Linked DNA regions of Rattus norvegicus. The protein of the gene in region 1 purifies or fractionates together with the protein of each later gene. This does not show direct contact. Links are inferred from orthologs where the notes say so. Each region holds a gene or a part of one and is shown on either strand. Other genes may lie near its edges.

The links.
Region 2: the proteins of Tceal1 (region 1) and Kdm3a purify together in Homo sapiens (affinity purification with mass spectrometry; 3 studies listed by BioGRID and IntAct, counting the BioPlex papers as one, with this or other methods). This does not show direct contact. The link is inferred for Rattus norvegicus from reciprocal best matches to the Homo sapiens genes TCEAL1 and KDM3A.
Region 3: the proteins of Tceal1 (region 1) and Usp11 purify together in Homo sapiens (affinity purification with mass spectrometry; 4 studies listed by BioGRID, counting the BioPlex papers as one, with this or other methods). This does not show direct contact. The link is inferred for Rattus norvegicus from reciprocal best matches to the Homo sapiens genes TCEAL1 and USP11.

What each region holds. Positions count from the first base shown.
Region 1 is NC_086039.1:104,847,382-104,854,493, forward strand, and holds Tceal1 (transcription elongation factor A protein-like 1), read left to right. Parts: upstream 1-3,431; 5' UTR 3,432-3,528; exon of another isoform or gene 3,529-3,532; intron 3,533-3,875; exon of another isoform or gene 3,876-3,907; intron 3,908-4,263; 5' UTR 4,264-4,293; coding exon 4,294-4,791; 3' UTR 4,792-5,343; downstream 5,344-7,112.
Region 2 is NC_086022.1:105,229,617-105,236,845, forward strand, and holds the start of Kdm3a (lysine-specific demethylase 3A), read right to left. Parts: upstream 3,755-7,229; 5' UTR 3,600-3,754; intron 3,496-3,599; exon of another isoform or gene 3,469-3,495; intron 3,344-3,468; exon of another isoform or gene 3,261-3,343; intron 3,037-3,260; 5' UTR 3,007-3,036; coding exon 2,821-3,006; intron 1-2,820. UniProt on the Homo sapiens protein: Histone demethylase that specifically demethylates 'Lys-9' of histone H3, thereby playing a central role in histone code.
Region 3 is NC_086039.1:4,031,488-4,038,616, forward strand, and holds part of Usp11 (ubiquitin carboxyl-terminal hydrolase 11), read right to left. Parts: intron 3,807-7,129; coding exon 3,697-3,806; intron 3,525-3,696; coding exon 3,394-3,524; intron 3,228-3,393; coding exon 3,110-3,227; intron 2,740-3,109; coding exon 2,594-2,739; intron 2,452-2,593; coding exon 2,390-2,451; intron 2,270-2,389; coding exon 2,170-2,269; intron 1,826-2,169; coding exon 1,652-1,825; intron 1,563-1,651; coding exon 1,404-1,562; intron 1,064-1,403; coding exon 839-1,063; intron 719-838; coding exon 635-718; intron 542-634; coding exon 447-541; intron 1-446.

The DNA.
Region 1 (7,112 bases):
CTTCAGTGGTCTAAAATGGGGTATTGTGAGACCGGCTTTGGCACACACATAAGCACAGAATTGTGATGCTTCTGTGAATATCGTAAATATTTTGGTTGCCTCTGCCTTGTTGTCTTCTACCTAAGAAGGAGCAAACACCAGACCGAAGAAGTTTCTTTGGCAGCTAACGTGACTCTGTGCTGAGTTGAACAGAATTCAAATCCAACAGTTGAGATAGCAAAAGAGACATACAACATGAACATAGAAGTGACAAGCGTAAAAAAAACCCCACCACCACCACCACCACCAACAGCAACAACAGCAACAAAATACCCTTGTTTTAGTCATTATCTGCAGGCTCAGGCAAAGAATTACTTTTTTTTTATTAACTTGAGTATTTCTTATATACATTTCGAGTGTTATTCCCTTTCCCGGTTTCCAGGCAAACATTCCCCTCCCCCCTCCCCTTCCTTATGGGTGTTCCCCTCCCCATCCTCCCCCCATTGCCGCCCTCCCCCCAACAATCTAGTTCACTGGGGGTTCAGTCTTAGCAGGACCCAGGGCTTCCCCTTCCACTGGTGCTCTTACTAGGATAAAAGAATTATTTTTCAGCAAAGAATTACTTTTACTAAAAGTGACCTTCATGTCCGTAAAAAGTATCTTGAGCAATGGTTATTATCAAACTTCACTCGTCAGAGGTGTTATCTACACCAACAATAGTGGTAGAGTCATACTCTTCAGCAGTGTGACCTTCAAATGTAGTGACTTTTAAAGTCAACCAAAAGCAAGTGAACCTAGAGAGATTATTTGGGTTTTCTTTTGGTTAAAATATGTATTGCAAATCCTTTCCTACCTTCACCTCTTTTCCTCTTTTGACTGGGCCTTTGTATGTAGATCTAGTGACCCAGAACTCTCTATGTGGACCAGGCCTGCCTCTCTGTTTGCCTCACTCAGTGCTGGGATTAGAGAGTTGCACTGTTTACAACTGGTTAACGGTACTTAAAGTAAAAGAAGAATTAGATAATATGGTAATATGTCATGTTATTATAATTACCCATATTATATTAGAGTTAATAACTTACAGAACATGTTCTATATGCTAATCACTATGTCAGTTGGTATAAAAGTACTAATTAATTAACTCCTTCACTCCTCTCACGGATCCAATAGGGTAGATAGTATTACTGTATTTACTTTTATCAATGAAGAACTGAAGTCTACTAAAGATTGCTCACTGTACCTCAGAGATGGAAAAGGAAAAGAACCAAATATAAATTCTAGCAGTTTCCACAGCATCAAGTGCACCTACCAAGGCTAAATGTTATTTTTGTTACTTTATGCATTTTTGTAACATTCTGGAAATGAGAACAAGAGGCAATATTTGTGAACAACTGGGAGTCAGATTTCAACTGGAAGCAAATGAAAGTAATCACTAATGTATGAACATTGAATGTGAAAAATTCAGTGCAAATGTTTTATAGGCTGTCCGGTGTTCATCACAGGATGTCAGAAGGAAAAAACAGGAATGAAGAAACTAATAAAACTGGACTTCCCTAAAAAAAGAAACCACAAAAAAAAACAAAAAAAAATCCCTTTATGGTAGATTAAATAAAGCATGGGTAAACTTTGTTTTAAAGTCACTTGTCACAGAATAAATGGAAAAAATCTAAAGAATTTTGGGTAAAATATACAGGTAAACTAACTTCTATCTCAATACAAACTAAATCCGATGCTGAGGAAAGTGACTATGTCACATATGGATTTCTGTTCACAGTCAATAGTCAAGGTTTTAACAAAAGAATTCAAAATCCTTGCAGATCTGATATTTCAAATATGAATCTGTGTTCAGAAACATCACAAAAATGCCTTAGGTTTAGAGCAAACGTAGATTTCATAATCCTTAGAGACCTGATGGCCACTTACCCTGGAAGTATAAAACTGAAAAAAAGTGTTCCCTCTCTGCAAGAAAAATCTGTCTGAGAATAGCATTCATCCTTTCTAGATAGATGAGAAGTAGGCTAAAGGTTAAAGATAATAAAAAGGCACATCCCAAAACAGGTACCGGTTATGATGACAACAAAAGATGTATACATGATTTGAATCCTACTACTAAGTATGTGGTGAGCAGAATTATTACATACATAGTTTAGTATGCAATGTCCTATCTGATGCACCTATGTTTTGAGGTTCAGATATCTCAAGACCCAAATATTTGTTGATTTAACAAATTAATTTAGGCCTTTTCACCACAAAATCAAGAGCTGGGTACTAAGAATTTGGGGTTCCTATGAAATACGTTCCTTCTCCTATGAATAGTAACTGTTGAATGATAATGATATAGGGGAGAAAATAGTAGGTGCTATAGTACCTACTATTGCTAATAGTAGAGCAAGTGCTCTCCTACTTTACATAATACGAGAGTTCTCTTGACTATCTTGAATGTAGATGGACACATGAGTATTTTAATTTAGGACAGTACCAAGTTATTATATTTACATAATTTACAGACTTAAATCTTTATAGAGGTCTAGAACCGGACGAGCACTCATTTATCCCAGAGTTTCTATTTATGACATAGTCAAGGAGTAAAATAAACATAAATAAGGGATTGACAAGAAAAAATGAAAGTAACTACCAAGGAAATGACAGGAGATTAAAAACATGATGTGATGAGGATATGGATTAAGCACAAATATTCGTACTTGAGAGTTTTTTAATTTATTTATTTTATTTTATGTGTATGTTTTACTGCATGTGTGTCTCTGTGCCATGTGCATGCCTGCTCCCTCTGAAGGTGGAATCCCCTGAAACAGAGCTACAGGTGACTGTAAGCTACCAGGTGAGTGCTGGCAATCTCACTGATATCCTCTGTAAAAGCAAGTTCTTCTAACTGCTTAGCCATCTCTCCGGGGTTCAAAAAAAGTTTTGTTTTGTTAATGGAATATTGCTATGTAGTTCTGTCTGGCCTAGAACTAGCTGTGGAGAACAGGTGGCTCTCCCACTTGAGGCAATCCTATCTTCTCTATATGCCTCCCCCACCTCAACCCCACCCTGAGTGCTGGGATTACAAGCATCTGCCATGTTGTCTGACCTGACCATGTTGCCTTGTGAAACGGAGGAGAAACAGTGAAATTTCAGGGCAGGGTCTCAAAGACGGGAGGGGGCGGGGGAAGGGGGCGACCTGTAGCCTCAGTAGCTGAGCGAGAGTGGAAAGTGAGAGGTAGGAGAAAAGAAAGATAATCCTGGGGAACAAGGGAGCAGGGAAGAAGGAATAATCCTGAGGAACTGGATGTTAATCGTCTCTAGTAAGCAAAAAAGGCAAATAGAAACAAAGAGAGGTGACTGAAAATTCCCGTTGTGTCTGAGGATTCTGGCAAGTGCTGGCAAATGGACGCCAAAGTGGTTACTAGGGATCTGAGCCTAGCCGTGACGCGCGCCCCTCACGTGACCAGGAGCCTATGTCTGCCCAAGACCCTCTCTGGTCCCGGTCCTTTTTGCCTGTCCAGACACCGTCTTTCTATTACCGTTTGGTCGAGAAGGAAAGCAGAAGTAAGTAAGTTCCCTGGATCCTCTAGGTTTGGTGATTGTCAGAGGTGCCTTGTAACCTGCGGGATCGGACCTGCAATGCAGAATCCTGATCTTTCACTATGCTGCAGCCCCGCCCCCCCGCCCACGGTTTTAGTACAGAAAATGGTGGTCCTGGGAGTGGGGTGAGGTACAAAGAACGATGTTCCACGTGAGGTCTGAGGAAGGTGAACCCCAATGGAGCGGTCTTTGGGCGGTTAGCTGGTCCCCACATAAAGGGGTGTGCGTCATTGCTGCTGTTTCTCTTCCCTATCCCCGCCCCCTACCCTGCCTAGCGTCTAACTGTAGATTTGCGGGTCTCACTTAGGCGACTCAAAGGGGAGCACACCGGCCGGAGGTTGGGGTAAGGATGATCAATGGGACAGGGTCGGGGTCTGAGAATGAACACTTATGGTATCAGTCTGTGGACTTTACTGCTCCGCCCCTGTCACTGCAGGAGAGGCCTGTGGCAAGGCCTGCTGGGAAAAATGGTGGTCTTTCGGGAAGGAGGGGGGCTTGCTGCACAGTAGCCGGCCTAAGGGCCCAAGAGCTTCTGAGTGAGCTAAGATTTAAAGACACCGGTCTCAATCAGGCAAAGGCAGAGATTGAAACGCGTAGCTGGGGTGTTGATTCATCCCGCCAAGTATTGTGACTCTGTTCTGTTTTTTTTTTTGTTGTTGTTGTTGTTTTTTTTTTTTTTTTCTGTTTTCTTGTCTCAAGAATAACTGCTTGGAGAAGAAACTTCTCAACATGGAAAACTCACACAATGAAAGTGAAGAACAACCACAGAGCACTCCAAAGGTCGAAGAAGAGCAGCCTGCAGTGGAGCAGTCTCCTGAAAATCAGTGTTCTGAGGATGATCAATCCTCAGAGGATCTGTCATCCGAGGAGCAGTCCTCCGACGAGGAGTTCTTTCCTGAAGAGCTTCTGCCTGAGCTGCTGCCAGAGATGCTGCTATGTGAAGATCGTCCTCCACAGGAGTGCCTCCCACAGAAGAACGCGTTCGAGGACCGTATTCCCATGGAGCAACCTCCCTGTGGGATAGGCAAACACAAGCTAGAGGAAGGAAGTTTCAAAGAAAGGCTGGCTCGTTCCCGCCCTCAGTTTAGAGGAGACATCCACGGCAGAAATTTAAGTAATGAAGAAATGATACGGGCAGCGGATGAGTTGGAAGAGATGAAGAGAGTACGAAATAAACTCATGATAATGCATTGGAAGGCAAAACGGAGCCGTCCTTACCCTATTTAATGTGCCCCACTTTTCATTGTTTTGCTTGCTAATAGCATTTGCTACCTGGCCCTTCTGTTTGCATCTTCTAATATGCCCTGTCCCATCTTAGTTGTAACAGTTGGTATTCAGGTTGTGCAGTTTTATTTCAGGTGTTTGACTTGTAACTGGCACGGTTTTGTTTGTTTTTAATCCTCTAAAATCTGTGTGATCCATTTGCATGGAAAGACAAACATTATATAGGTGAGGTGATAAAAGCAAAAGGTATATACATAGCATTCCATTTTTGTAAAAGGAAAACACATTTATATATTAATATGCAAAGAAAAGCTAAAATCTATATACTTAAAGGCTAACTAACATTGGTTATCTGTGTAGTAAAGATAATAGGTGATTTTTATATTTTTTAAATTTTGCTTTATCCAAAGTCTCATTTTTCATGATGAATACATTTTATTTATGTTGCACAACAAACAATATAAAGAAAAATGTGAAGCAAGTCTAAAATCAAAACTTGTTCATCAGCTTATAAAGACAATGTGCTCCTTAATAAATATTTATCAGAACTTAAAAGTTGATCCGATGTTTCTTCTGAATCTCTTTTCTAAGATTGATCTTATTTTTTTAATTTGTATGAGTATTTTGTTTATATCAGGTGTGTGAATAGTGCCTGCGGAGGACAGATGAAGGTGTTGGATCCCCTGGAACTGGAGTTACAGATGGTTGTGAGCCACCACATGGATGCTGGGATTTGAACCTAAGTCCTCTGGAAGAGCAGCAAGTGCTGGTAACCACTGAGCCATCTCTCCAGTCCCTCTTCTGGATCTCCTAAGCAGAAATAAAAAGCGGGATGTTTATTATCAGTAGGAGTAATATTTTCCAAGTTAAATAGGACTAAGACATACCTTAGACTGTGGTGGTGAAACTAAATGAGAAAAGGATCCTTTGAGCTCTTTCTTTTTTGGTAGGCCCTCCCCCAACCTCTACAGACTTGGTTGAAGCATGGGAAATTAATAGCTGAAGAATATCTCACTTGTGCTCAACAAAAAATTCCTGTGAGATTCCACATGGGTACCACATTCTGTTCCTGTTCTGCTGTACTCTGCCTTACCTGCCAGGTACAACTGCCCCTTCTATGTCCTGCAGTTTTCACTGTTCCTTTTGCAATCACTAGTGAGCTGCAGCTTGTAGTGCAGCTCCTCTCGACCTTTGGAGAATGTCCCTTCTTCCAGCTTTACTGTTAAACATACACAAGTATATATAGTCACAATGCTGTTAAGACTTTGATATAGTAAAAGAGTGCTCAACATTACTTTTAAATGCTAAGCAAAATGGCCTTTTTCCATGATTTTTATCTTAAAGTCCCTTTTTTATCCTCCCTAATTCAAGCATGAGGTCACTGAGACCTGGGATAGGAAGCCAAATTTGTAAGATGGACATCGTGCTGTGTAATTAGAATAGAAACTCCCTTTCCAAATATGAAAAGGGGGCTTCTATCTTGTCTAGTCCACTCGTGCCTTTGAGGCAAAGCTTCCATGCTCATGCTCAGGTTTCTGCATGTGTCTAGCATGCCTTTCTCTCTTCTGTTCAGCAAAATCCCATACAATCAGTCCCAGAAGATGTTCCTAACTGTCACCAAACCAAGTTGTTAGATGTCCTTTCCTGGTGTGTCTAAAGTACCAAGTGACTTCAACTTTTATTGTAGAAGCAACAGCAGCAGAAGCAACAGCAGCAGAAGCAACAGCAGCAGAAGCAGCAGCAGCAGCAGCAGTAATAGTAGTTGTTGTTATGTGTGTTACAATTATTTTAGGCATCTACTTCTGTGAATTGGGGAACTTCTCAAAATAAAAACCTGTATCTTGCTCACTAGCGCATCTAAAAGAGCGCAGAGCAAATACTCATTAAATATAATCTTCTTGAGCCAGATAGCCAAGAGGCTGGTGCTACCTCCTCTACTCCAACCTCTGTTATTCACAGCTAAAGCTGAGGTTGTGTCCATTAGTGAGCTCTTGGTATGAACAGTAAGCTGCTTAATGTGCAAGGCCACAGCAGTGGAAGCCTGGCCGGAGCAAGTGCTTTCTTTTGGGATGATCTGGGTTCCAGGGAAGGTGCTAGCGGCCTGTCTGGAGGCTGTTTCCATAAAGAGTAACTGATGGTTCTGTTGCCTCTCAAAATCTGAGGCATCTTACCAAATAACAGAAGCCAATTATTGGAAGGTCATGGTGGTGGTACAGAATAGATTTTAGTGTGATGAGCTCGGTGATCAGAACTGGCTGCATGATCATCCTAAGGACCACACGAGCTGACAACTTCCAGTGAAGAGCTTACAGAAGAACTCAAAA
Region 2 (7,229 bases), on another chromosome or scaffold:
AAAGTTCTCCTAAGTCCTTCACTTATTCATCCAAGTATTTGAACACATACTAAATGCCAAGCAAAGTTCCATTGTTAGACATAAAGAAACTCGCATAATAATGCACCCTACCTCCACTCTAACTGAAACGAAAGCCACTGCCTAAGGTCTGGAGAGAAGCGTGAACAAGTTATTTAATTTCTTTCAATCTCACTTCCTACACTAAAAAAAAAAAAAAAAAAAAAAAAAAAAAAGAAAAGAAAAAAAAAGAAAAAAGAAAAAGAAAAAAGAAAACAAACAACAACAACAAAAAACCAAAACTTACCCAATTTGAGGACACTTAGAAGGGTTCAAAAGACACCACAGAATAATTATTTAACAATGACCTACTTTAACAATGTTTTCACCTTAACTTCTTCAAAATCCACTACTCTGGATATTGCTTTTCTAACCTATAAATTCCTTTTGTTACAAAGTGTTTTCCAGATGAAACAATGTTAAGCAGCCTTCGACTTGTTTTCCTTCATCCAGAAAAGCTGGACTTGCACACAGTAAATAAACAGTTGCATACAACCTGAAATTCTCTTTTATTTAGCCTAGTAACTCCATCACAAGACACCCTCAAACCATCAAGACCCCTAGGCCCAGATGTAAACATGGTTTTAATTACTGGTTGTTGCTTTATTCTCACTGAATATAACTTGGTTCTAGAGTTGTAAGATACATTTTTGTTAAATACAACTTAATTACTTTTGCGATCAACTAGGGAATGTAGCAGTAAATGCTTGGACAAACCGAAGCAGATTTGTACCTTAAGAGAAGGACTGAGTTGTAAGAGTTTCTCAGGCAAAACCCATAACAAAATTGTTTTTGAACTGAAATCCTAGAAGATACACTGTTAAAAACTGATTCAAGTCCTCCCATCATTATTTAGTAACTAATTACAGCAGCCCAGACCAAAGACTTGTCTGAAAGTGAAGCTCCCCCTAAAAGGGTTTTTTTTTTGGGAGGGGGGGAACAATATAAGTTAAAGACCTTTTACATTACATGTGAAGTCCAACAGGCCCTTAATCATGAGAAGGAAATCTAGTCTCTTGTCAACCTCCCAAGAACTAAGAACTATAAAGTTTAAATATTGCTCCCATTTAGATCAGATCAAATAAATATACTAGAATTTCTTCTTTAACTTGACAGACAAAACAAAAACAAAGACAAACCCCACAATTACGATTGAAATCTAGTACATGAGCCTATATTAGATACAAAGGTTATTAGCCTAGAGCAAACAGGCTGGTCATCTGCATACACCTGCCTCTAAACCTTGATTTGGTAGATAAGTGGAATGGAAGAGAAAAGACATGTTTCAGAGTCCAAGTAGTGGCAGCTCTGTGGCACAACTTTGACCAGGCAGCATGATGGCTAAGGGGGAAGTAGGGAAATTTCCTGGACTGGAGTACAGGCCATGTTAATTTCTAAGGATGGGGCCCATAGGCCATGAACCTCAGCCTTCCCCAGGCACAGGTCTTCATCAGTAACATGGGATCAACAACAAACAGTCCTTAGTAGCCCAAAGCACTGCTGTAAGGACCAAGTAGAGTGCAGTTGCTAGTGATCATTATGATGCCTGCAACGAGGTTAAATGCCCAGGGGTCATTTTTCCTTTGCAACACGAACACAAGGCACATGGTGGAAACTCTGAAAACACATAGGCAAGTAACTTTTTCCAATGATCCTCTCAAGACTCATAATAGTATAGGCATGAACTGAGTTCAAATGAAGTGTCTCAGAAATCAACATTTAACTCACAATGGCTAAAACCTGCTTCCTTTAAGTAGTTTTCAAGAAAATGGCAAAAACAGAAGATCCCAAGGCATGCACATTATTCAGAGTAGAAATATCTTCTGTCTTGACAAACTTTCTTTAAGTTATAATCACTATGGAGCCTTTGTTAGGAATCTTCTTTCAGATGTTTTTGCACAAGGAGTCTTTGTGGGCACAATGGCTTCCTCACTGGTTATTTCCCTACTATTTTGTCACACCAATATTTGTATCACAGAGTAGAATTCATTCCTTTCAAAAGATCTAACTGAAAAAGGTTCCTTCCAGAATGTGTTCGCTGGTCACACGGTTCCATTTCTCTCCTTCCTCTCAAACACCCTATATGGGACAGCTCCACCCAAGGCTTCCATACATGGCTGTACCCACAACAACCCAGCCTCATTAACAACCAGAGTCCCTCCCACTCCTGCCTCACTAACCACACATCCACAAATACCCACCGAACAAGCCAAACAGAACTAAAAAACACAACTAAGCTCCTTCCCTTACATTCACACTCCATTTCCACGTTGTAAAGTTTAAGAAGTTGAATGAAGAAATAAAAAGGAACACCCCACCTGAAATCTTCATTTTTGAAAGCACTTCCAAGCTAGCCCTCAATGGTGACTCTAAATGTCATCCACTTCTTTAACCTATTACTAATAAACAATATTCCTCCCGTTGAGGGCATAATCAGACTGTCCCAGCGGGACCCAGTGCCTGCGTTAATGAAGCATGTCTGAACAATCCTAAACCCACTATTGATCTCGGGCCACTGGAGCTCTAGGCCAAACACACCTTAACACTACACACCATTTCAAAGACTTTCATGGTCTAGAGTTCTGCACCTCCTGATCACCTGCCAACTTTCTAGTGGCCCATTTCAGAAAAGGGAGGGAGGGGCGCTTGACTGTCCCGTTACCAAGGTAACTGAAAACCGTCTGACTGCCCAGCCCCCAGAAGATGGTTTTGTTTGTTTGTTTAGGGGTTTTGTATTTTGTTTTCGTCTTTTTGCTTTTTTACCTTCAAATCTTTCTTGGTAACGTCAGTGTGAGAAACAGCTCGAATGGTCCCGGACAGCCAGGGCCACTCTGCAACGCGCTCCAAGTCCCAGTTGTCGTGGCCGCCGTCGCTGCCTTCAGCTGCGGACAGACTGAGGAATCGCTTCCCCACCAATACTGGCCAACTTTCTCCGAGCGTGAGCACCATGGTTTCCACGCCAGCAGGAAGGGCTCCTCCCTGCAGAAGGCACAAAAACAAAATGCGATGGGGGCGGCCGAGGTCGGAGGCGGCCCGAAAAGACGAAGCGCCGACGGGGACCGGTGGAGTGACACCCCCGCAGGTGGATTCCGCACCCCAAGCTGCCACCAGCGCCTCCCCACCCCCCCACTACTCCCCCCCGCAAACACCCGCCGGAGTGCCGCGTGACCCTCTCGCCCCAACAACTTTCGCTTTTTCCAAACCTTTCAAAGCTGGACACTGAGAGAGAGAAGGGAGGACTGAGCCGCAGCGCCAGTGCTTTTGCCTAAGTGTTCGTCCCCTCGCCCTGGCAAAGAAAAGGCTCCCTCAGTGCCTAGGGCCCGTCCCAGCGGCCGGTCCCCGCCCCGAGCGGCCTCGGAGCCGCCGTGGACTAGCTCGAGACTCGACACTTGCCGCGCCCCCGCCCCCCGCTTCCGGGCCGCCGACTCGGGCGCACCCCCGCCCGTCCTGAACCGTGAACCGAGAAGACGCGGCGACCGCCCGCGCGGGTCCTTCACCCTTCTCCCTCTGTCTCCCGCAGCCGAGGCCCGCGGAGCGCTTACCCCGCCTCCCGCCTCCCTGAGTCACCCGCGACGGCGGCAAGAGAGCCCAGCCGCCCAGCCGACTCTAGCTCTGACTTGGTTCAAGAGCTCTCTCACACAAGACACGCACAGCCTCCCGGGCCCGCCCCCTCGGAGCCGCTGCCACCGATGATTGGCTGAGTCGCGGGGGATAGGCGGGGCAGCCAAGGAAACTCTTGGTTCCTAATGGTTAAACTGAAGAGGGCGGGGTCGGGAAAAAAAAACAATTCCTTGGCTGCCTCCTCCCTTCCCCCCTCCCAGCACCGACTGGAAGCCGACCCCCATTAAAGCGCGCAGACTGCGATCAGCAGATCCTTCCGCCGCAGCTCCATTCTTCCATTTGTTGCCTCGCGCTACGCAAAAAAGTCCCGCCGAATCGGTTATCGACTTTGAGGCCAGAAAAGAAAATCACACAGGCTCACAGATAAGAGTGAATGGGGAGACCCAGGACCATGAGCGCCTATTGGATTGCACTTGAAGCGCGTAGGCTGTCGAGCAAAGACGGACCTTCCACTAGGCGGAAGAATCTCACGGGAAAGGGGCGGGGGCGGTACACAGCCTGCGGGGGAGGGACAGCACCGGGACGTGCGGTTTCAAGCGTACGCAGCTAGAGGGGGAGGAGCGACTGGGCTCCGGGGGCTCGTGCGCAGGCGCCAGAAGGGGCGGACTCTGGAGCTTGGGTTGATGGGTGAAATGGCCGCTGGAGGCGCAGGCGCACGTGGTATTGATCATGACTGTCTAGGTCCGCCATTTTGAAGGATAAATGAAGAAAGGCAAGGAGTTGCTGGAAAACGATGTTCATTAAATCTAAAGGCAAACAATTTATTCAAAACTATGTGGAATGCAGGGTTTCTTTAAAAAAAATGTAAGGTGGATATAAGATGTTTTGAGACAACAAAGAAATTGAAAAAGGAGATGAAGTTGATGATTAAAGAGCTAATGGAAGAGGTGACTTTGAAAGACAAAGGAGAGAAAAGACGATTTTGTGGTTTGGACCAGAGGATTCTTGGTTGAATCAGAAAATGGAATGAATAATTGAAGACTTCTTTATGAAGCCTGGTGTTTGACCTAGCATCGCACTTAATCTTTATTATAGAATGAAAGGAAATTTAATTTTAAAAGTATGAAAATGAGAATTAAGAAAAAGTTCAAAAAGTAGTAGAAAATGAATACACAATGCAAATTAGTGCCAGATGTTCATTTTGAAAAATACTTGGTTTGAATACATGACGTCAGGATGTTAAAGCTTAAATAATGCTGAAGTTGAATAAAACTGAATTCAATTTATGATATTCGAACCATTAAGAGATGGGAAATGGAATGAAGAAACCTATCCACTTCAACAAAAGGCAGAAATGGGAGCAAGAAAAACAAAAGAAAGAAGAAGAAAGTATGGTTAAAAATAAAATGACAGGAATAAGTCCATTTGTATTTACAATAAATATAAATGGGTTAATTTTATAAATAAACATGGAGAGGTTCTTAGTGGTTTAAAATTTTTTGACATAAGAATTAAGTACAGCATAAGAAGCTTGAAACTATTACGGTAAATTTTTTATAAGACTAATCAGAGGAAAACTACATTAGCATCTTTATACATTATTTAATGAGGATATATTCTGAGAAAAGGTGGTTAGGTGATTTCATCATATTGATAACGATATGCTTATAAAAACTACCATGTCACTGAGAAAACCTTATGGGATCACCATTGTATATGTAATGTGTCATTCACCATAATGTTGTTACACAGTGTATGACTAAGAGTAAAAGCATAAAAAGAAAAAAATTATATTAATAAAGGATTGGTTCTATAAAATAATATGTATTATTGAATTATTCTAACTGAAAGTATTAAGTTAATAGTACTAAATTACAAGAAGGTTTTGACAGCTTATAATCACATTAAATACTATAAATCTATCTCAGAAATTTTAAAAACAAGAGGATGTGGAAGACTTAGATTACATGACACATAACTTGAAATTAACTGCTAAAGACATAAATTCCACTAAAACATGAAAAACATTTTAGGCATACTTCTACTAAAACACATACAATATTTTTTTTTTATTCATGATTCCAGAACCAAGAAAAGTTGGAGAGCTATCCAGTATACTTTATGAACTTACAAAGTCTTATTACCAAATAAGAACCAAAAAAATACAGCAACAAAATACAAACATAGATGGAAAGTTCTTTTATTTAGTACAGGTATTGGGAAATAATCATGTTTATTGCTAACTATTAACTATAATCATTGTATAAAATAATGGATTTTATTTGGACATTTTCATATGTAATTCATTTTAGTAATGTTCTTTCCCATATTACCTCTCTTATTTTCCATTGCATTCCTGATAGAGCTGCCAGAAATATTAAAAAGAAATTAAATGTTCATGAGCTTAAAACTTTAATGAGCTTCCTAGAAACCAATGTGTGTGTTTGTGTGTGTATGTACATGTGGTAACCCTGAGAAAACAACTAACAGATAATGGACTGGAAGAAAGGGTAAGATCATTCAGTTGTCAGCATTGTACAAGTCATATCCAATGGATGTGGGAAGAAAAATGGAAATAATCTAAATGTACTTCAATTGGAAAATGAGTAAATAAAATGAATAAAAAGAACAAGGAATAATGGCTCCTTTACACACTAATCTCTGTACTTGGAAAATGGAGGCAGGAGAATCAAGAATTCAATATTAGCCTCAGGTATATAGGAGTTCAAAGCTGGTGGGGGGTTACCTGAAACTGAAAAATGAACAAAAGAAAGAAAAAGATGAAAAAAATAGATAAAAGAAATAAATGGAATGTGACATATAGTGAAGTTTCAGAGTACTTGAAAAAGAATCAAAAATTCTACACGTACCAACAGATTACCAAAGCTCTTTGAAGAAAAGTACTTCATGTGAAGTCATTACTTAACACACATATAAAAATATTTTATGTGGTCCATTAAATATATTAAACTTGTAACACTGGCTACCGGTATGTGAAGGCCTACATCAGAACTTAGGGAACTAGTTAATGGCGATCAGCATTGTTTACAGTGTGCTTTTTGGTTTTGCATTTTAGATCTTCACTTTAAATTAGCAACTGTCATCAGCACCACTGTCTCTATGCAGAGTGCTTGCATCACCCCCAGAAGGAACCTTTGTACACATTGAACATCTTTATTATTAGCTGTCAAATCCTAGCAACCATTAACTTGGCTTTTGTGTCTATAGAACGTCATATTTGTAAATTTCAAACTAATAAAATAATGTAATATTTGTCTGGCTACTCTCACTGAGCAAAATATTTCAAAGGTCTGATCATGTTGCAGATTTATAATATTTATGGCCTTAAATATAATCCACTATGTGGATAAGCCACATTTTGTTCATTCACTCAATAGATGATAGACATTTAGGATGTTTCTGCCTTTTTGATACCACAAATAAGCTATCTGTTAAAATACATATATAGTTAGGTCTGTCAAGATGGCACAATGGGTAAAGGTGCTAGTCACCAAGACCGAGGACCTGAATTGTATTCAGAACTTACACAAGGAAGGAGAGAACTGACTCCTGAGAGCTGTTTTCTGATCTCCTACATTCATACCATGGCA
Region 3 (7,129 bases), about 100 Mb from region 1:
CCGTGATAGGGCACTTGCCCAATATGCAGGGAGCTTGGGCTCTAAATAAATAATGAATACATTTTTATCGGAGCAGGTTGTTGGACATAATGGCATACACCTTTAATCCCAGCACCTGGGAGGAAGGGGCAAGATGAATCTCTAAGTTTGAGGACAGCCAGGGCTACACAGAGAGACCATCTCTCTCTCTCATGATACAGATCTATTATATAGATATAAATATTATATATACTTATATATATTCATGTTTATTTTCTACACTTATAAAAGTATTGTATATATTATATATACTTATGAGTATATATATGTATTGAACTGTAAGTGTAGCTCAAATGTTAAGAGTACTTGTCTAACATGCTTGTGCATTCTGGGTTCTATCCCCAGTAGGGCAAAACAAAAGGTGGGGGAACCATCCTCTATTTATTCGTATCGGTTTCCTCACTTACACAAAGATATCATCACGATCCAAGATGCCACTCAGAGGATCCTCCAGCTGGTAGAGCTTATAGAATCGGTGACTGAAGACATCAGCTACTATCATCTGGTAATAGGAAAAGGACATAGGGACAGTCAGTGTGCAAGGTTCTTTTTCCTTTAAACCCTACCTGCCCAGCCTCCCTCTTCAAAGTCTTACCTTATCTGGTGCAACACTTGTATGTGTGGACAGAGCCACACACAGATCTGAGATATTGCCCTTCTTAGGGACTACAACCCGGTGCTGAGGAGAAATAACATCCACAGAAGATCAAAGGAACTTATAGTAGGTTAATATAGAAAAGCTTGAGGAAGGCAATCAAATTCTGATTTAATGTCCCTCATTGTGTTCCCATAACCCCACCTGTTCTGGCTTGCGGCGGGGATCCATGGGGACAAAGAAGACCTCCAAGACCCTCCTGGAGCAGACAGGCAGTGGGACACTGAGGTAGCAGAAGGGGTCAAAGGTCACAGAAACATTGCCACAATCAGGGCACACCAGTGTAGACTTGAAGAGGCCATGGAAAGTGTCCACAATCACAGAATCATTTCGTCGTTTGTGGTTCTGCCAGGCTTCCTGAGCCACTTCCTGTTGAACAAATGTCATGGTAGGTTAGGGGAAGAGGGGAAAGTTTGGGGATGGACTCATAGGGGTTTGAGGTAAAGGACTCTGTTGAAGCCTAGTGGCAGGGTCACAGCTAGATCTATCTGGAACCCATGTTCCCTTTCAGAGCTGGCATTTTGCATGAAGGACAGGAGCCTGACTGGAGTTAACTCTAAGATAGGTATGGGGACAGATTTAGTGCTATGACTAAGGTTGAGGTGAAGGTCAAAGTAAGGGAATTGAGAAAATGGTAAGGTATTAGATAGACTGGGGAAACCAGAGACTTCCTAAGGCAGTGGCCATGTAGCTTTAATGGGTAGCCTACCAGATCAGGCCGCCCAGCACCATTGCATAGCTCAACATATTCTTTCTTTTTGACTCGATTGAGGTCCTCATGTAGTCCATCCAGGAGGAATGACAGTAGTTCCTGTGAGTCATGCTGCTGGTAGCCCAGAAACTGGGATGCGAAATGGCCAACCTTGTTCTGAAGAGACAGTAGATAGGAGAGTGAGCATGAGATAAGAGAAGCAAGAGAAAGGATGGTGGGAGGGAGCCCATGGGGTTGAGACACACCTTGAAAACATTCGGCACAATGGAGCGGTGGTAGCCAGACCAAGTCTGCTTTACCAGATCTGCATAGGCCTCAGCAAGCTCACCCTTCATGCCCAGAGGGTTCCGGAAGTTGAGCTCCTCCAGGTAGCGGTTGTTGAGAAAGTACTCCGTAAGCTGTGGCACATTGCTGAGGCACTGTGGTAGTAGGGCCCAATGAAAGAGGTAGAGAGGTAGGGTGGCATAGGTAAAAACAGAAAAGGAAGGGGGAGAGAGGGAAATGAGAGAGAGAAAGGTAAGGGGTTGCCATTGTGAATGCAGTATCAGGAAAAATCAGTATCTCTGGGGAAGGAAAATGGAAGGTGCCAAAGGAGGGAGGGAGAATAGGGAGCAAATGTGGGCACACCAGATCAGATTCATGGAGCCTTAGCTCTCCATCTGACCCCTTGTACTGTAATCTTCCTTCCCCCAATCCCAACCTCTAGCTCTGTCCCCAATACCTAACCACTATAGCTTGCCAGACATAGACCTAATAGCCCAACCTGTAGGGCCGAGTTCATGAAGCACGTGTTGCCCAGATTGGTAAGGCCACAGATGCCTGGTTGGCCCTGGAAGTCCTCATCCTCGTCCGGCATGTTGTTCCTGGGGTTGGATGAGAAACCCTATGAGCTAAGGTCGACTATAGGAGGGTGCTCTGTACTCTTAGGTTCTGTCTGCCTACTCTGGGGTGCCCCCACTCTGCATGACACCCCAAGGGCTCACATGCCACACAGCTGAGCGCTGGGCCAAGTGCCATCTTTGTTTCGGGTCTCCATGATGACCAACTGGGTATAAGGTAGAGAAAGAAAAAAGGAATGTATTAATGGAAGGCCTCAAGGGCACCCTGCCCTTCCCTCGTCTGACTAGTGCCAGGAATCCATCCACCTGGCTACCAGCACAGAGGAATCCCCCCCCCCCCACTGTTACCTGCCCAGTCTCAAGGCAGGCATCAAGCAGTGTGATCTGCGTGTTACATAATCGATCCAAAGAGCCCTCTGAGTTCTTGGTCCAGAGGCGCGTGTCTTCCTGAGGCTCTACCAGAAACTGCTCCCGGGCTGTTTGCAAGACTAGGTCTGTAGAGGGTGATGAAACATGACCACATCTTCTAGGACCCCATGTGATAGTGTTAACTCGTTCTCACAGACTTTGCTTACTTGGCCAATACTTTGTATCCTCAGATCATTCTTCACGCTTACAAACTCAGAATTTGAGACCTTTCCAATAAACACTCTTTTCCACCCCAGCCAAGCAACTGGAATATAGCCCATTTTCTGGAGACTCTAGAAGACACCCAGTATCTGTGCTTGACTTGGCCACCTTCCCCCACAGTTTAACTGGTGCCTTCTCAGGATGCAGTAGGCTGGTCCCCACACATCCTCAGGTTCACTGAGATATAACCCATGATTAGGAGCATGAATTTATTCCAGAGACCCTGAGACTTACCGACAGAATCAGAATAGCTAAACTGAATGGTGAGAGCTGTTTCCATATCACTGTGCTGAACGAGCAGCAGCTCTATTGGGTACACTTCCACCTTTCGAATGCCAGGAAGTTCTATGACCTGTGAAGGCAGAGGAGCACCAACACTCAAAAGCCCACCCAACTGACAAAAGAATGTAGGTATACACAATTCTGTACCTCCCTGAGCCTACACGGCCTTCCTCTTCCCCAACTTCCCAGAGATATCTAACACACACCCCCTCAGTATCTACCCCACCCATATATACCTTGCGCTCAATAGGTGGCTGGTCATCCTTTAAGCCATACCAGCTGACCAGGTAGTTCCAAGCAGGCGCTGGGAGCAGCACATAATCATCTCCTTCTACCAGTCTCTCCCTGAGGTGCCAGCTTATCTGATCTGCAGGTGTAGGGAGTACGGACAAGGTAAAACATGAATTAAGAAAGGAACTGTTAATTCTGACCACCCTACCAATGACTAAGCATAGAGAATGGGAATATGACCCCTCGTGGGAACAGAAGGAATCAGAATTCCAGGGCAAGGTTAATGGGGAGAGGCAGAAGCTTAGTACCTTCAAAGAGCCCCGAATTGTTGATACTGCCAGGAAAGGTGCTAGCATCTTGATCCCCTCCCTTCACATACGCCTCCCACTGTTTATACCAGTGTTTCTCCACAAGGAACCTGGAACCCAGACAGACAAAGGTGTCATATTCAGGAGCTAGCTATACAACTTTTCATCACTTGCAGTTACTTGTAGCAGCACTATGTAAATATAAGTAAAAGGCAAAATTTATTCAGTGAAATGCACATTTCAGTATTGGATAACTCGATTTTTTTCTTTATTCATTCCCATTTTTTTTAAAATGAGGTCTTGTACCAGGTCTAGTCAGGCCTGGAACATACTACATATGTAACCCAAGCTGGACTCAAGCTCTCTGGTTCCTTCTGCTTCGACCTCCTGAATCTTGGGATTAAAAGCTGTGTACATAATCTCATGGCTCAGCTATGCTGTGAGTTTGATTTGGGGTCTCTTTTGAGACAGGGTTTCACTACATAGTCCTGGCTAGCAGAGAACTGGCTGCCTCAATCTCCAAACTATAATTATAGACATAAATCACACTTGACTTTGTATTTCTGTGTTTGTTTGGTTAGGTTGGCTTTTTTTTGTCTGTACATTGCCCTCCCAACTCCCCAGACCTTATCACTTATTCCAGAAAAAATACACATCCCTACCTAGGAGCTCATGCCTGAAAATCTATCATTCAACCTATCAACTTCTACACTGTCATTCCTCCTTCCAGCTTTACTGGCCTCTACCATTTATGAAGTTCACTTAATAAAGCTATAGGTAATAGTATTTTCAATGCAAAGAGGGACACTGCTCAATTAAAAACATTAGTTTAGTTTCTGGCTTTTTTTTTAAAGACAAGATTTCTCTGTAACAGCCTTGGCTGTCCTGGAACTTGTTCAGTAGACCAGGCTGGCCTCAAACTCATAGAGATCTGCCTGCCTCTGCTTCCCAAGTACTAGTATCAAAGGTGTGCACCACCACATCCAGCTAAGATTTTATTTAATTATTGTATCCCTGTGTGTCTGTGGATAGAAATGTATACATGAATACAGGTACTCACAGAAACCAAGGGCTTCAGATCTTCCCTGGAGTTGGAGTTACTACAGGCAATTGTGAGCTACCTGACTTGAGTGTTTGCAATAACCCTCTTAACCACTGAACCATCTTTCCAGCCCCTCATCTTCCTAAAAGCACAGATTTAGAAGAAAATTAATATTAAAATCATTCTTTAGCAAAACTTCAGCTAGTTTAGGATGGGGATATAGCTTAGTGGTAGACCATTTACCTAACACATAAGAAGTCTTACATTGAATTCTCTCTCTCTCCTCTCCTTCCTCACACTCACACACACACAGACACACACACACACACACAGTGCACCACACTAGATACTACAGCATTTGGGAGGCAAGAAAATTACTTTGAATGTGAGCCCAGCCAGGGTTAGAAACTTAACCTCACACAAACGGGGAAAATAAATGTAGACACCACTCTGGGACAGCCTCACAACAGAGCACTATTGACTCAGGGCAGGATGGGCTTTACAAAGCAAGGCCACTGTTGACTGTTACCTGGCCAGAAAGAGTTAACTCTACTGCCATAAGCCCCAACTACAAATGTTCCAGGGCACTGCATCATTGAAATACTGCTTAACTACCTGCACAGAACACCCCTGCCTCAACAAAAGCCATCTCTTACATAATAAACTCTCTTCTTGTGCCCTTTTCTGCCTTGAATTCTTTCATTATTCATATCCCCACCATCCTGCATAATTAAAAAACTTATAGGTGATAAATATGACATTGCTCTATCAAGTTTATTTAAATACATCTAAATACACATAAAGGCATACTAGTGAGTTCTTTACTGCCCATTATCCTGTGGCCAATACACCCAAAGATGATTAAGACTTAGATCTTCAGTCACTTGTTTCTTGTTACCAAATTATTGCCAGTTCTTAGTGCTTTTTTATACTTTTAGTAATGTGTATGTGTGCCTGGGTGCAAGCATGTGCATGTAATTGCAAAGGTCCTCAGAGGCTAGAAGGCATGAGATTCCCTGAGGCTAGAGTTACAGGTGTTTGTGTGCCATCCAATGTGGGTGTTGGGAACTAAACTCAGGGCCTTGGGGTTGGGGATTTAGCTCAGTGGTAGAGCGCTTGCCTAGCAAGCGCAAGGCCCTGGGTTCGGTCCCCAGCTCTGGAAAAAAAAGAAAAAGAAAAAAGAAAACTCAGGGCCTCTAGAAGCAGTGTGTACTCTTAACTGCTGAGCCATTTCTTCAGTTCCTCTTTTTACATAATATCTTTTGTTTGAGACAGGGTCCCACTACGTAGCCCTGACTGGCCTGGAACTCATTATATAGCCCAGGTTGGCCTAGAACTCAACTGCCTTTGTCTCCAGAGTGCCAGGACTAAAAGGATGCATTATGAATGAATGGCTACATACTCAATTCAACTCAATTCATCTTTTTTGTTGTTGAGACAAAGTCTTATGTAGCCCAGGCTGATCTTGAACTACACGAAGATGACCATAAAAGCCTAATAATCTTTACCACTATGTTCTTATAAAACTTTTTGTCTTTCTTGTGACAAGACACACTTGGTAGCTCGGGTTAGATTGGGACTTGTGTTGCTCTGCTCTTGCTTTAGTTCTCAAGTGTTAAAACTTCAGATGTTGTGTTACCATGCTCATCTTGTTTTCTAAATATTCTTCCAAGGCTGGCCTCAAACTTGCCACAATCCCCATTTTGGTCTCTTAAATGCTGAAATCAGACAAATGAGTCACCATGCCCACAACTAGGTCCTGTTGATCTGTCTTTCCAAACTTAAGATAATGACACTGTGAAAATGCCATAATTATCTCCGGGAGATAACATAAGGTTGCTTTTCTCCTATAAAAAGACAATAGGAATAATCATATAGATCTTAAGTTTCCCAGATATTTTTTTAAACAGGGACTCACTATATGGCCTAGAACTCACTGTGTAGACAACTAGGCCTCCCTTTATCTCTATAGTGCTGGGATTAAAGCATGTGTTACCACACCTGGGAAACTTGTAATAACTTTCACTTTTCCAACTTTTTTTTTGAAACAAGTTCTCATGTAGCCTACATTGGCCTTGGCTCTCTGATCCTGTGCCACTACCTCCCTAATGCTGGGATTAAGGAGCTAGGATATGTGTTACCATGCCCAGTTCTTCCTATTAAAATATTTTTGAAAATGAGAAATCCAAAAAATGCACTTTACAGGCTAGGGTAAAACTCTCGGTCTGGAGAGATGGCTCAGTGGTTAAGAGCACTGTCTGCTCTTCCAGAGGTCCTGAGTTCAAATCCCAGCAACCACATGGTGGCTCACATCCATCTGTAATGGGGATCCGATGCCCTCTTCTGGTGTGTTTGAAGACAGCTGCAGTGTGCTCACATACATTAAATGAA